3 linked regions of the Pelodiscus sinensis genome follow. The protein of the gene in region 1 interacts with the protein of each later gene in a pairwise test. Links are inferred from orthologs where the notes say so. Each region holds a gene or a part of one and is shown in the gene's direction. Other genes may lie near its edges. The genes, in order: FAM161A, CDR2 and CCDC102B.

The links.
Region 2: the proteins of FAM161A (region 1) and CDR2 interact in binary tests that used the Homo sapiens proteins (3 or more experiments, as listed by UniProt). The two-hybrid records come from large-scale screens. The link is inferred for Pelodiscus sinensis from reciprocal best matches to the Homo sapiens genes FAM161A and CDR2.
Region 3: the proteins of FAM161A (region 1) and CCDC102B interact in binary tests that used the Homo sapiens proteins (3 or more experiments, as listed by UniProt). The two-hybrid records come from large-scale screens. The link is inferred for Pelodiscus sinensis from reciprocal best matches to the Homo sapiens genes FAM161A and CCDC102B.

The regions. Positions count from the first base shown.
Region 1 is NC_134713.1:180,772,008-180,775,757, reverse strand, and holds the start of FAM161A (protein FAM161A), read left to right. Parts: upstream 1-1,360; 5' UTR 1,361-1,397; coding exon 1,398-1,526; intron 1,527-3,750. UniProt on the Homo sapiens protein: Involved in ciliogenesis.
Region 2 is NC_134726.1:22,798,825-22,802,574, reverse strand, and holds the start of CDR2 (cerebellar degeneration-related protein 2), read left to right. Parts: upstream 1-1,300; 5' UTR 1,301-1,482; coding exon 1,483-1,561; intron 1,562-3,750.
Region 3 is NC_134712.1:92,060,423-92,064,172, forward strand, and holds the start of CCDC102B (coiled-coil domain-containing protein 102B), read left to right. Parts: upstream 1-770; 5' UTR 771-904; intron 905-3,750. UniProt on the Homo sapiens protein: During interphase, forms fibers at the proximal ends of centrioles to maintain centrosome cohesion. During mitosis, dissociates from the centrosome following phosphorylation to allow centrosome separation. Contributes to CROCC/rootletin filament formation.

The DNA.
Region 1 (3,750 bases):
TTCATATTTGGGCCTTAAGGAAATATGCTGCCAAAATAGATCTTATGCTGACTTTACAGATCTTTGCAATCCAAGACTTAATATTAACATCTTTGTATGTAGTTTAGGGATAATTTTTGGTGGAGGGGGAGACTCCAAGCTTTTGGTAAGTAGTCAAGGTCACACTTTTCTAGGTGTGGGGGGAGACAGTGAGGTCTTGGCTACTGATTGAGAGTAGAAGGGAGTTCAGGAGCAGGCCACTTGGGTGCAGGAAAGGGGGTGGGATCTGAGGAAGTTTGGGTGAAGGAGGAGGTTGTGACCTGGTCCAGTGCATTGGGGTGTAGGCTCCAGGAGGGGTTAAAGATACATTCTGGGAGTGTAGCAGAGTGTGCAGAGTCTGGGAGATAATAGGGGCATTGGAGGGGGTGGGGTGCCAAAGGCAGGCTCTTGCTAGCAAGTGCTTATGCAAACAGCTACTGGACAGGTGACTGCTCCAAACAAGCTTCAGTGCTTGGCAACAACCCTAAATGCCTTCTGTTCCATGTGGCTCTGTGATGTGGGCGGGGGATGGAGGAGTTCATGCGCTTCTACTCCCTCCAGCAAAATCTCTTAGCTCCCTTTGGTGGATTTTTGGCAAACGGGCAGAGAGATTTTGCTGACTGTGGGGCACCAGGGGAAGCCTCTTCCCATTCCCCCCAGTGAAGGAACAAGGAGCAGCTTGCTGCTTTGGGTGTCCTATGCTGTAGGGGTGGACTGATTCACCCGATGCATCTTGCTCACCCCTGTTCTAAGAACTACTCAGTTGGTCTCTGGCCAATTAACTCCCCCAACTGGGATGGCCCAAGCTCTTCCCCTGGGGTGACGTTCCCATGTTTCAGTTCAATGAAAGTTGGCTGAAATACACTTGCTTTATCCCTAGGGGGTTTGGGAAGGGAGAGGGTAGCACCTTCTGTCACTAATCATAGCTTGAGCAGCAGAAGTGGCACAAAACCATTGCAAGCATATCGAGTGGAGACTCGAAGCACTCTGACAAAGATACATCTGCCCATCGGCTGTGGTTCCAGCCCATCTAGCACTGAATTACCCTTACGCTGAACTGATCGAGGAAGCTAACTTGGCGCGGGGTGTGCATCCAGCCTTCCTGGGAACAGCCTGAGCAGAAAGGCGCAGCAACTCTCAGAAGGGAGGACTGACAGCCCCCTCCTCCCCAACAGCGGGGCAGGAATCTCCGCACTCCGGGGTCCCCGAACTTCCCGTCGCGCCGCGGTCCGGAAGGGCTCTAGGAGGGCGGAGTCTCAGCTTGGGGCTTGACTCGCAGTCCGCATAGGTTTGTCCTAGTAGACGTGCCGTAGCGTCCCCGGTAACCGCTGTAGCTGGGAGCCAGAGGCGGCGGCCGAGCCAGCCGCTGCCCGCGGAGTATGGACGCGGCGCACCGCGCTGCGCTCCTCACCGCCTCCTGCCTCAGGACGCCCGTGAACCCGCGCACCAGGGCGCCGGTGGCTCTGTACGAGCGGGAGAGGCGCCCAGCGGCCGCCGTGGAGCAGCAGGTACCGCGGGGGCGGGGCGGGGAGCCCGGGCCGTGTCTCCTGCGCCGCTCGCCCCCCGGGTGAGGGCAGCGACATCCCGCTCCCCTTGCGCGGGAGCCTCCCCCCCCGCCTGAGCCGGGGGCTGGCGGCTCCGGCCGTGGGGCGCTCTCGCAGGGCGAGGGGGGGGCTCCTGCGCCCCGCACATCGCTGGGGCTTAGCCGTAGGGAGCCGCTCCAGCCCCCACCGGTTAACGGGGACCGGTCAGCATTACCCAGTAAGGGTGATAGGTACCGCTAATCCCCACTTCGGCACAGCTGAAGCCTGGCAGCCATGCTGAAGCAGGGGGCGGAGTGTGGGTGGGACCATGCGTGGCCGTTTGAGAAGGCAATGCCTTTCCCTGCCTCTTATATCTGCTGCCCATGGGGGTGAAAGTCTGTGAGCATCTGATCGCTATTATGTCAAGTAATGTCTCTGTTGTATAAGGGAGGCAATGCATTAGAAAACGTGGAACCGGTGGCATTCTCCTAGGCTGCCTAGCTCCTGCTAACCTTTTCATGGCTTTGATGCTGTGCTTTATGGAGTTCCATCAAGTCCAGTGACTGTCCCAACCTGCTAGGAGAACTAGGATTTAGTAGACAGATGGCTGCTTTTCCAGCCAGAAAGGGTCACCAGATCTGACTGACCTCCTGTAAACACAGGGCACCAGCACCGCCCTGCATGCTAAATGCCACTACCAAAATTAGTCTAAGGTATTTCAGCTTCCAGGAGACTGACCACTGTGCGCCACAGGCAGAGAACAGGAGGAACCAATGTCCACCAATGCCTGAGGCCCTTGGAATGGCAGGAAATTGATTGAAAGCTGCACAAAGATGATCCTAGCAGGCAACTTGCATCCCACACTGTGGAGGAAGGTGAAAATTCCAGAAGACTGCTACCAGTCTGATCCTCCCTCACCCCCAATATGTTGCTATGATATTCCTTGTGGCAACTGCAATAATGCTAAGGAACAAAACACACTGGGTTTACATTTTAAATAGGGTAAGATGATCTTCTGAAGATTAGTCTCTGGATTAATGATGTATTTTTAATTCTGTCTTCAAGTGAGATTTTAAAACTAAAAGTAATATAAGTTTTGTCTCTTAAGGAAATACTTTGGCATGTGGTGAAGTATTTTCTGATATATAAGGACACCCGTGTTCCAAGTCTGCCTTTTTAAAACAAGATGCTACAAGAGCTGTAAGAGATAAAGGAGATTATTGATGAGAATATAGGAATGATTCCTGTAAAAATGTGTTTTAAAGAGGGGTAGAAAGCGGAGTGTAGTTTCAAGTTCAGGGAAGAGATGTTGAAAGGTGTGAAGGTAAGAATGAAGGGGACAGCTTTAAAGCAAGAGGTGGTGCTGAGTTTAGCATACTGAAAGGTAGAAATAGGAGTAAATGGGAAAAGACATGTAGATGAGAGTAAGATTATGTAGCGTGATGAGAATGAGAACAAAGAGCTTGAATGTGATGCACTAGGCACTAACAGAAGGGGTTTGAAGATGAAGTAAAAAGTAATCCTACAAAAATGGAGAGAAATTACTAAGGGTGAGTACAAAAGAACAGTAAATGAGTGGCTATGAAATCAGAAAGGCTAAAGCACAAAATGAGATATACCTAGCAAGGAACATAAAAGAGGTTCTACAAATGTGTTAGGAGCAAGAGAAAGACAATGGAAAATGTAGGTTTGATACTTGGGGGGGGGGGAAGGAAAACTAGTAATGGATGATTTGAAGAAGACTGCCCTGTTTAAGGCCTATGTTGCTTCCATCATCACTATACGCAGTCCCTGAGTTACGTGGATCCCTACATACGAACAGGGCTTTTCTCGCCACGGAGGATGTGGGCGGCAGGACCGCCGCCCGCGTCCTCTGCAGTGAGAAAAACTGCTCCGTCTCTCCCTGGTCTGCTGTGGGTGGGGAGCGCAGCTAGTGCGCCCCCCCCCCCCCCCCTCCCCAGCAGACCAGGCTTTTCTCGCCGATGCCTGGGGTAGAGCAGCTGGGGCGCTGCCGGGTTGGTCCCCGCAACGCCAAGGTGTGGTGCTGCGGGGACCAATCCGGCAGCGCCCCAGCTGCTCTGTCCCAGGCATCCAGATTCAGCCACTGTTGAAACTGATCAGCGGCTGATTCCAGGAAGCCCGGGGCAGAGCAGCTCTGCCTTGGGCTTCCTGTAGTCAGCCGCTGGTCAGTTTCAACCAGTGGCTGAAT
Region 2 (3,750 bases), on another chromosome or scaffold:
TTTTTAGTGGTCTTCAGTACTGTCTGGTCAGTCTCCCCCCTGCATCTTTTAAACACATTAAAATGTAGCTACAAACCCATGCTTTCTGATGTAAACAATTACTGTAATTGGTAGAGACATAACTGCAAATGGAAGGGAAAAACATCTGCATGATTATGAATAAGCAGAAAGGTGAATACTTGAAACAATGTCCCCCTTTACAAACTGTTAGAGTACCCAATTTCTAAGAGTTACCAAGGATTGTTCCTTTTTAACACCAGAGAACTGGGCTTGACAATGAGTACACAGAAGGATCTAGTGGACAGTTCACTGAACTAGAAGCTTGGAGACCTTCGCTCTCTTGAGAGTTGGGCAAATCATTCTTCCTTTCTCCCACAGTCCCATCCTTCCCCATCTGTAAAGTGGGATAAAGATTACCCTTCTTTTCATTCATAGACCTTTAATTTTTGCAAAGTACTACATAATTTCTAGGTATTGTCTCGGATAATTATTTTCAAACATGGAAGCAGCTACTACCATGCTTCACTGTGGCCTGAGATAAGCTTGCCATAAAAACACTTGGCTACAGAAAGCAATGCTGTTTGGAAGCATTTGAACAGAACCAAGCATTGATACCTTTAGACCCCAGGATGCTTTAGGGACCACACACAGACAGAGATCACTTCGGGGACTATTAACAGCATGCACCTATGAGCCCCCTGGACTCACCTGTTCCTAACCCTCTGTACTGCGCTGTCATTCCCACCCTCCCACTATAGCTCCCCCTTCCTGTCCCACCCCACAGCTCCCCCATCCCTCTGTACTCCTCTCCCATTCCTACCCCTTCAGAGCTGCCCCACCCCTCTCTGTACTTCACCATGCCCACCGCCTACGAGCGCTGGAACTATTTTATAGTGGGGATAGCAACTGACCCAGACTGTAAACCTGGGGTGCTGCAGCCCGCCTAGCCCCGGCTCCCATCCTTCCCAACCCCTATTTCTCCTCAACTCCCCCTCCTCCAGCCCAGGAACCTACTCCCGGGAATTAACCCCTGACAGCCACTCCAACACCCCCTCCTCCAGCACGTACTGACCGACTCCTTGGCTCCGCCCTCCGGCTGGAGGCTGCGCACCTATCTCGGGGGGCGGAACTTAATCGGCCCAAACCCACCTTTCCCCCCACTCCACTGGCTGAGTGGAAGCTTTCAACGCTTGATTGGGCGGCGTTCCGGTCGATCCCCTAACGGCGGCGTGCGATTGGTTGTCCGGCAGGGAGGTCAGAGTGCCCGTTTTGAATAATCGTTCTCCTTGTAGTAAAAGGGCGGTTGCCCATGCCACGTTGCTGCCGGCTGCGGTGCCGGGCCCGGCCTGGAGGCGGGGGGGACTCGGCTAAGTCCGGAAGCGCTCGGCAAAGTCCGGCCGCGGCTTTAAAGGAGTTGAACGGTCCCCGGCTCGCCCCGCGCCAGGCTTGTCGGTGAGCGCGAGGAGCCCTCGGGGGGCCGCGATGCTGGCCGACAGCCTGGTGGAGGAGTTCGAAATCCGCGAGGATGAGCCCTGGTACGACCAGCAGGACCTGCAGCAAGGTGAGCAGCCTGGCTCCGCGCGGAGGATGCCCGCCTGACGCGGGCTCGGGGCTCAAGCGAACGGCTCCCGCTGGGCGAGGCGATGAAGGAGCCTCCTCCGGCGGCGTCTTCAGGGGATGATGGGGGTGGGGGGCGACAGGTAAGTCCCGAGGGGGCGCGGGATGAGGACAGGTAAGTCCCGGTGAGGCGGGCAGTTGGGAAACGTGGCTGGGGGGGGGGGGGGGGGAAGATGTGTGCGCCCGGGCGGGGAGCGACTGAGGGGAGCGAGGCGAGGAAAAGGGCGAGGGCGTGGAGAGGACAGAAGGGCACAGTTGCCCCCCCGGGGCTAGCGCGGGGGTGGGTTATTATTTGGGAGACATCGTTAGGCTGGGGGCGCACGGAAGGAGGCTTTGTGACCATTGACATTGCAAAGCGTTTGCCATCCTGCAGCTTCTGAGGGCACCGGGGATTTAACCAAGAACAGCAATTCCCTGGGAGGCGCAATGGTATCGTGCGAGGTTTTTGGGCCGTACGGACTTGTGCAAAACGAACCCTGCGAGTGGCTTCGTGTACCTGGCTTCGGAGCTGGTTCTTCCCTTAACTTTGTTCGCGTCCTGCGTGTGCCACTCCGTGAAAAGCTGCACCTCTTGGCGTAAAGCAGCTTGGGAATGGGAGTGCTTTCGCTGCAGTGCTTGCTTAAAATAGAGCGGCTGAATACTCCTTAGGGGCTTCCACACCCTGCAACCGCCTTCTGCTTGTCTGTAATTAAAGGGCTAAACACTAGAGCACATCTGACGAAGTGGGTCTTTGCCCACGAAAGCTTATGCTCCTACACTTACTTCAGTTAGTCTATAAGGTGCCACAGGACTCCTTGTCGCTTTTGCAGATTCAGACTAACACAGCTACCCCTCTGATACTAGAGCACAATAAAGGTGTTAAGTGGGCTAGTCTTTTGTTAGTCTTTAACTAAAAGAAACTTAAAAACAAAACAAAGCAATGGTCCTACAAGGACCATTGTTAACTTTATTGTGGATAGAGGGTCATTTACTGCTCTCAACTCCTCCTTACACAGGTCCTGTTTACAATTTACTGTGAAAATTTATTGACTAATTCCAATATATGTGTGCTTCTCTTAATACTATAATAATTATGTAGCTCTTATAGGATACAGTTACACCACAGGACAAAGTCAAATTAAGATATGCAACTTCAGTTATGTTAATTATATAGCTGAAGTCAAAGTACCTTATTTCAGCTTTTGGTACTGTTTACACTGCAGGAAGTTGAAGGGAGAGCACTCTCCCTTCAACTTCCCTTACTCCTGGTGAAAGCAGGACTACCGGTATGGACCAGAGTGCCCCTCTCAGTTTGAATTAGCTGTCTTAACTACACTCTCTAATTCAAACCCTGGAAGAACGAGAGCTGGAGCTTCAATCTTCCTCTGTAGTGTACATGTACCCATAGTGCTTTTTCATCAGTAGGTTTCCATGTAACTTTATAAAGCTGGTTTGAGACATAGTAGTATAGAGTAGTGTATGCAGTAAAATGTATGGCATTATCAATTTTCTGAACCTCCAGTAGGCTTTAATTGGAATGCATTTAGAACAAACTATTTTGGGTTTAGCACTATTTAAAATTGGTATTTTAGTCTTATTTTTAAATAAGCTATTTATGTTCTTAAATGGTCAGTTCAGAACTGGAAACTCAGAGAAGGGGCTTCCTCAAAACTAGATTTAATTAAAACTTGGTTTCTCTAAGCTATTCCTCATTTAAGCTCTTTGAGGTTGGGACAGTTCTTTTGTTTTGGTTGTACATTGGCAAGCACAGTGGGATCCTGATACATGACTAGGGTTGATAGAGCCTATTGCATTATAAAGAATAGAAGTAGAAAAAAAAATCATGTTTTTCATACTAAAGTCAAGTAGTTAACAATAAAAATTCCATCTCTGCTAACTGTTGAATAGCTGTACAGCAGTTTTCAGCAGTTTTCATAGATTGTAACTTAACAGGATCGCATACCCATGAATAGTTTGCTGTTGTCTGGAAAAACTGGTGAACCATCTAACATTATTTTCTAATGATTTAGACTTTTTTTCCAATCCATTGTAAAGCTGTCACTATTCAGAGACAAACCTGTCTCTGTGAATCACCTAGCTTCCTCATGAAATGTACAGATCCTTTGGGCTGATCTGAATGAAAATAAATGGAAT
Region 3 (3,750 bases), on another chromosome or scaffold:
GGGGAGCGTTTGTGGGAGAGTTACCATTGTTAGATCCAAAGAAGAAGCCTCTTTCCAAATGACACAGGGGATTGCAGCTACTCTATATAAGCATTATGACTGAAGTAGACTCAATGGGCCAGATCAATGGGCTTGCCAGAGCTTCGCTGATTTCAATGGAGCCATGGTATTGTTTGACTGAATGACTCTTAAGAGGTCCCACAGTGGTAGCATGCAGCTCCTTTGCAGATTCCTATTATAGGCAAGCTGGTGCGTTTCAATCTTTCCCTATATTTGTAGCCCCAATGTTACAAAAGTGTACTATTTTATATTCCACAAAATATTTTTTTTTTCTTTAGTGTACCAGTCATTTATGTTTGTGTGGTGTAAATGATATTCAGAGCTCAAGAAATTACCCTTTTCTTTCAGGGTCTGTATTTTTTATTTGGATTTGGTTAGCTTGCTCACACCTTTTGTGCTTCACAATTTAAATATCACAGGACTTTTGTTAATGGTGTAATGTACTTTACAATAGCATGCAAAATGTACCAGAGATACATGTGGAGTGGGAGAAGCTGTTGCTGGCCCAGAAATCAATCAATCAATCTCTCTCTCTCACACACACACAATATGCAGTTCAGAAAAGGAGGAGAAATTACTGATGAAAAGCACAATAAGCTGTGTGTGGCGTGTATCTGTAGGTGGTGACTGACTTGCATTTAAAAAAAAAGTTGTGGTATTGGTTTTGATACAGCCTGACCAATGGGAATCTTCTTTCTAGTTAGTGTGGAGTGGCTTTAATGCTGGAAATAATCCTGTTGGCCAAAACCCCAGAACTGTGCAGATCAGAAAAGGATGCAGGAAATTCTGTTTACACATGTGTCTGCAGCACTGAGCAGCAAGAACAGCCCAGCAAGCCCAAAGGGTAAGGGGCTTTAGTAGTCTTGTGGTTTTATACTGTGTTAATTTTTATATCTTTCTGCAGGGTGGTGTGTATAATACTCACCCAGGGAACTGAGGGTGGAAAGCTCTATAAGCTATATTACAGAAGTACTTAGATTTAAAAAAGAAAACTATTTTGATTGTGTGATTAAATTGTGTTTTACTATTTTCCTTTTGCTTTCCATTAAACTACCATTGGACAATTTTTTTTATCTTTGCATCATATTAAACATACCTTGTCCTGTATGTATGCAATATGCTTATTTTAATATAAGATTTTAAAATATACATTTGCACAGTAAAAGTATGTTAAACTATCTTTATTATTAATTTAAAAACCTGAATGATTTACTATAAATATGGAATGTTGAAGGCTTACACTGTTTATATAAAAATTCAAAAGTACAGTAGGAGAAGGAGGTACTGTTTGGGTCATTTTCTAAACCTCACTCAACACTAGAAATTTTAGTCTCAGGGGAATAGTATAGTTTGAGTTTGCAACTTGCACTCAATTTCTGTTGCGGTTAACAGGAAGTTGTGTAATCAGAAGGAATGTTTCCGATATAAAATGTGCAACTAACTGATAAATTTGTGATCTTAATTTCCCCCTGAAAACTCTCTGGATACAGGCAAAATTAGGAGCTATAAATCAGTAAGGTTTTGTTTGTTTGTTTTTTGTTATACTGCACTTTAAAAATAATAAAAAAGGAAATTCAGCTAGTACCGTTTCAAATAATGGACAATCTCAGAATGTGTGTGGATGAGCTGTCACTAGGAAGGACCTGAGGAATAAATTCCTAAAGTAATACAGAGCAATTTCATAAATGCATATAGCAGACTGTTCTAACTTCTCAGCAGTTAAAACCCAGGTTCTCTGGCTGTATCTAGCTTTTCATTTTCACTGTTTTCATCACTACCACATTAGTTTATTCCCCACAACCATTAATGTTGATATTGGGTAGGAAACATTTTTCTTGCTCTAATATAACTTACAGAAGGAATACTTAGTGTTCTTGCAACTATTTGCCCTAAAATGCAAATGTGCCCTGAAATGTATATAAATATACTGTATAAATGTTGTTTCATGAATGGGACTTGTGTGTTCTTCACCTATTCCAACCATCCAACAAATTTAATGGACATTCAGTAAGTGCAAAGAATGATGTATCAAGCTTATTTTCTATTTTTTCCTGTCCTTTATTTAATCCAGTGCTCTTCAATTATTTCTTTTACTAATCACCTGTAATTGGTTAATTTATTGCCATTTACCTCAATAGATAGGCCTTAGCATCTTTTAATAGATTAATTTATTAATCTTACCAATAATTATTTAGCCCCACAAAAATATATAGAACTTTCTGAATCAAAGAGATGTTCCCTGCCCTAAAGAGTTTGGTGCTAAATATTGTTTTTCATCCCTTTCCATTTCTTCTAAATCTCTATCAAATCATTTACTGATTGCTAATGTGACTGCTTAGCACAATTTATAAATGCTCACACAAGGTCTTGGCAAAAACAAGTTGTGACGTAGTGGGGGTACTTGCTGGGATGTGGTGACCTCTGCTGTCTGGAGCAAGACCCAGCAGGGAAAACCTCACTAGGCAGAGGTAAGGACAAACTTGTTGAACCAGTGGCCAGACACCCCCCATGGAGAGGAACAAAGGAAGGTGAATGCGGCCCTGGCTGGGGGGCAGGGCTGGAAGTGGGTTAGTTGGTTGGTGGCTGTCTGTGAGGATGGATGAGACAGCCTAGGGAGAGGAGCTGGAGTTTTAGGGGCCCAGTCTCCCCCATCTCAAGGGGGCCTGAGGCATCCTAGCCCAGTTCCTGTAACCAGACTACATCTGTGCTGCGCTGTGCTGGAGGAGCAATAAACCACCCTCAATTCCACTGGCTGGTACAGTCTGTTTGTGCCATTTCGGGGTGCAGGAGACGGGGAACCCCCAACGTGCCGTCACACAAGTCTAAAAAAATCTTCAGTTTGCTGCACTGCTTATGACGTTTCTTTGCAAATCGTGTACATAGGATGGATCCCTCTAACATATATGATAGAATTTAGGAATACATTGGACTTAATTCATATACACTTTCACACCAGTAGGGCCTTGCTACCCTCTGTTGGTTGTCTCATTGTGGAAGGTCAGATTTTCAAAGATCATCAAAATTCTGGATAAGACATCTGGCTATGGCCCTTCCCTAGTTAACCTCTAGATATAGCCAAGGGTGCTAGATACTTTATAGGATAGGTTAACTGAGTACAAGCCTACATATTCAAGGGCTAAATTAAGACTACTTGATAGGTGTACCCATATTTTAGAGCAGTGGCTTGCAAACTCTGTTGGTTCGTGTGCCACTTCAACATTTTTAAGGCAGTTGGTGGAACATCAAGTTTGTCTGTCATTAGCGGTACATGCACTGCAGTTTTCAGATAATTCCATGGGAATAAGTCTGAGGAATTTTAATTGGACTTGATATATTTGTCTGTCTGAAATGCTCTACTTTTTGTAAAAAAAGAAAAAGGAGAGAGGAATCCAAGTATTGTATAACAGAGCTCAACCAGGGTTGACCAAAACTCAAGCAGTCACAGAAGCAGTTAGATATTCTTCTCCCAGCAAGAATTCATATATATGGATGATTCTATAATATATTTTATAAGGTTTCAGTTTTCACTTTATTAACTGTAAATTCATTTTCTCTAACTGCCATACCCTCATTCTTATTTTGCTGTCTATGTTCCTTGTACTCCTTTTTCCTTCACCTGACTTCCAGATTACGCTTTATTGAATACACATTGCACCAAGTCTTTTTCAAATATGAATATGATTTGGTACT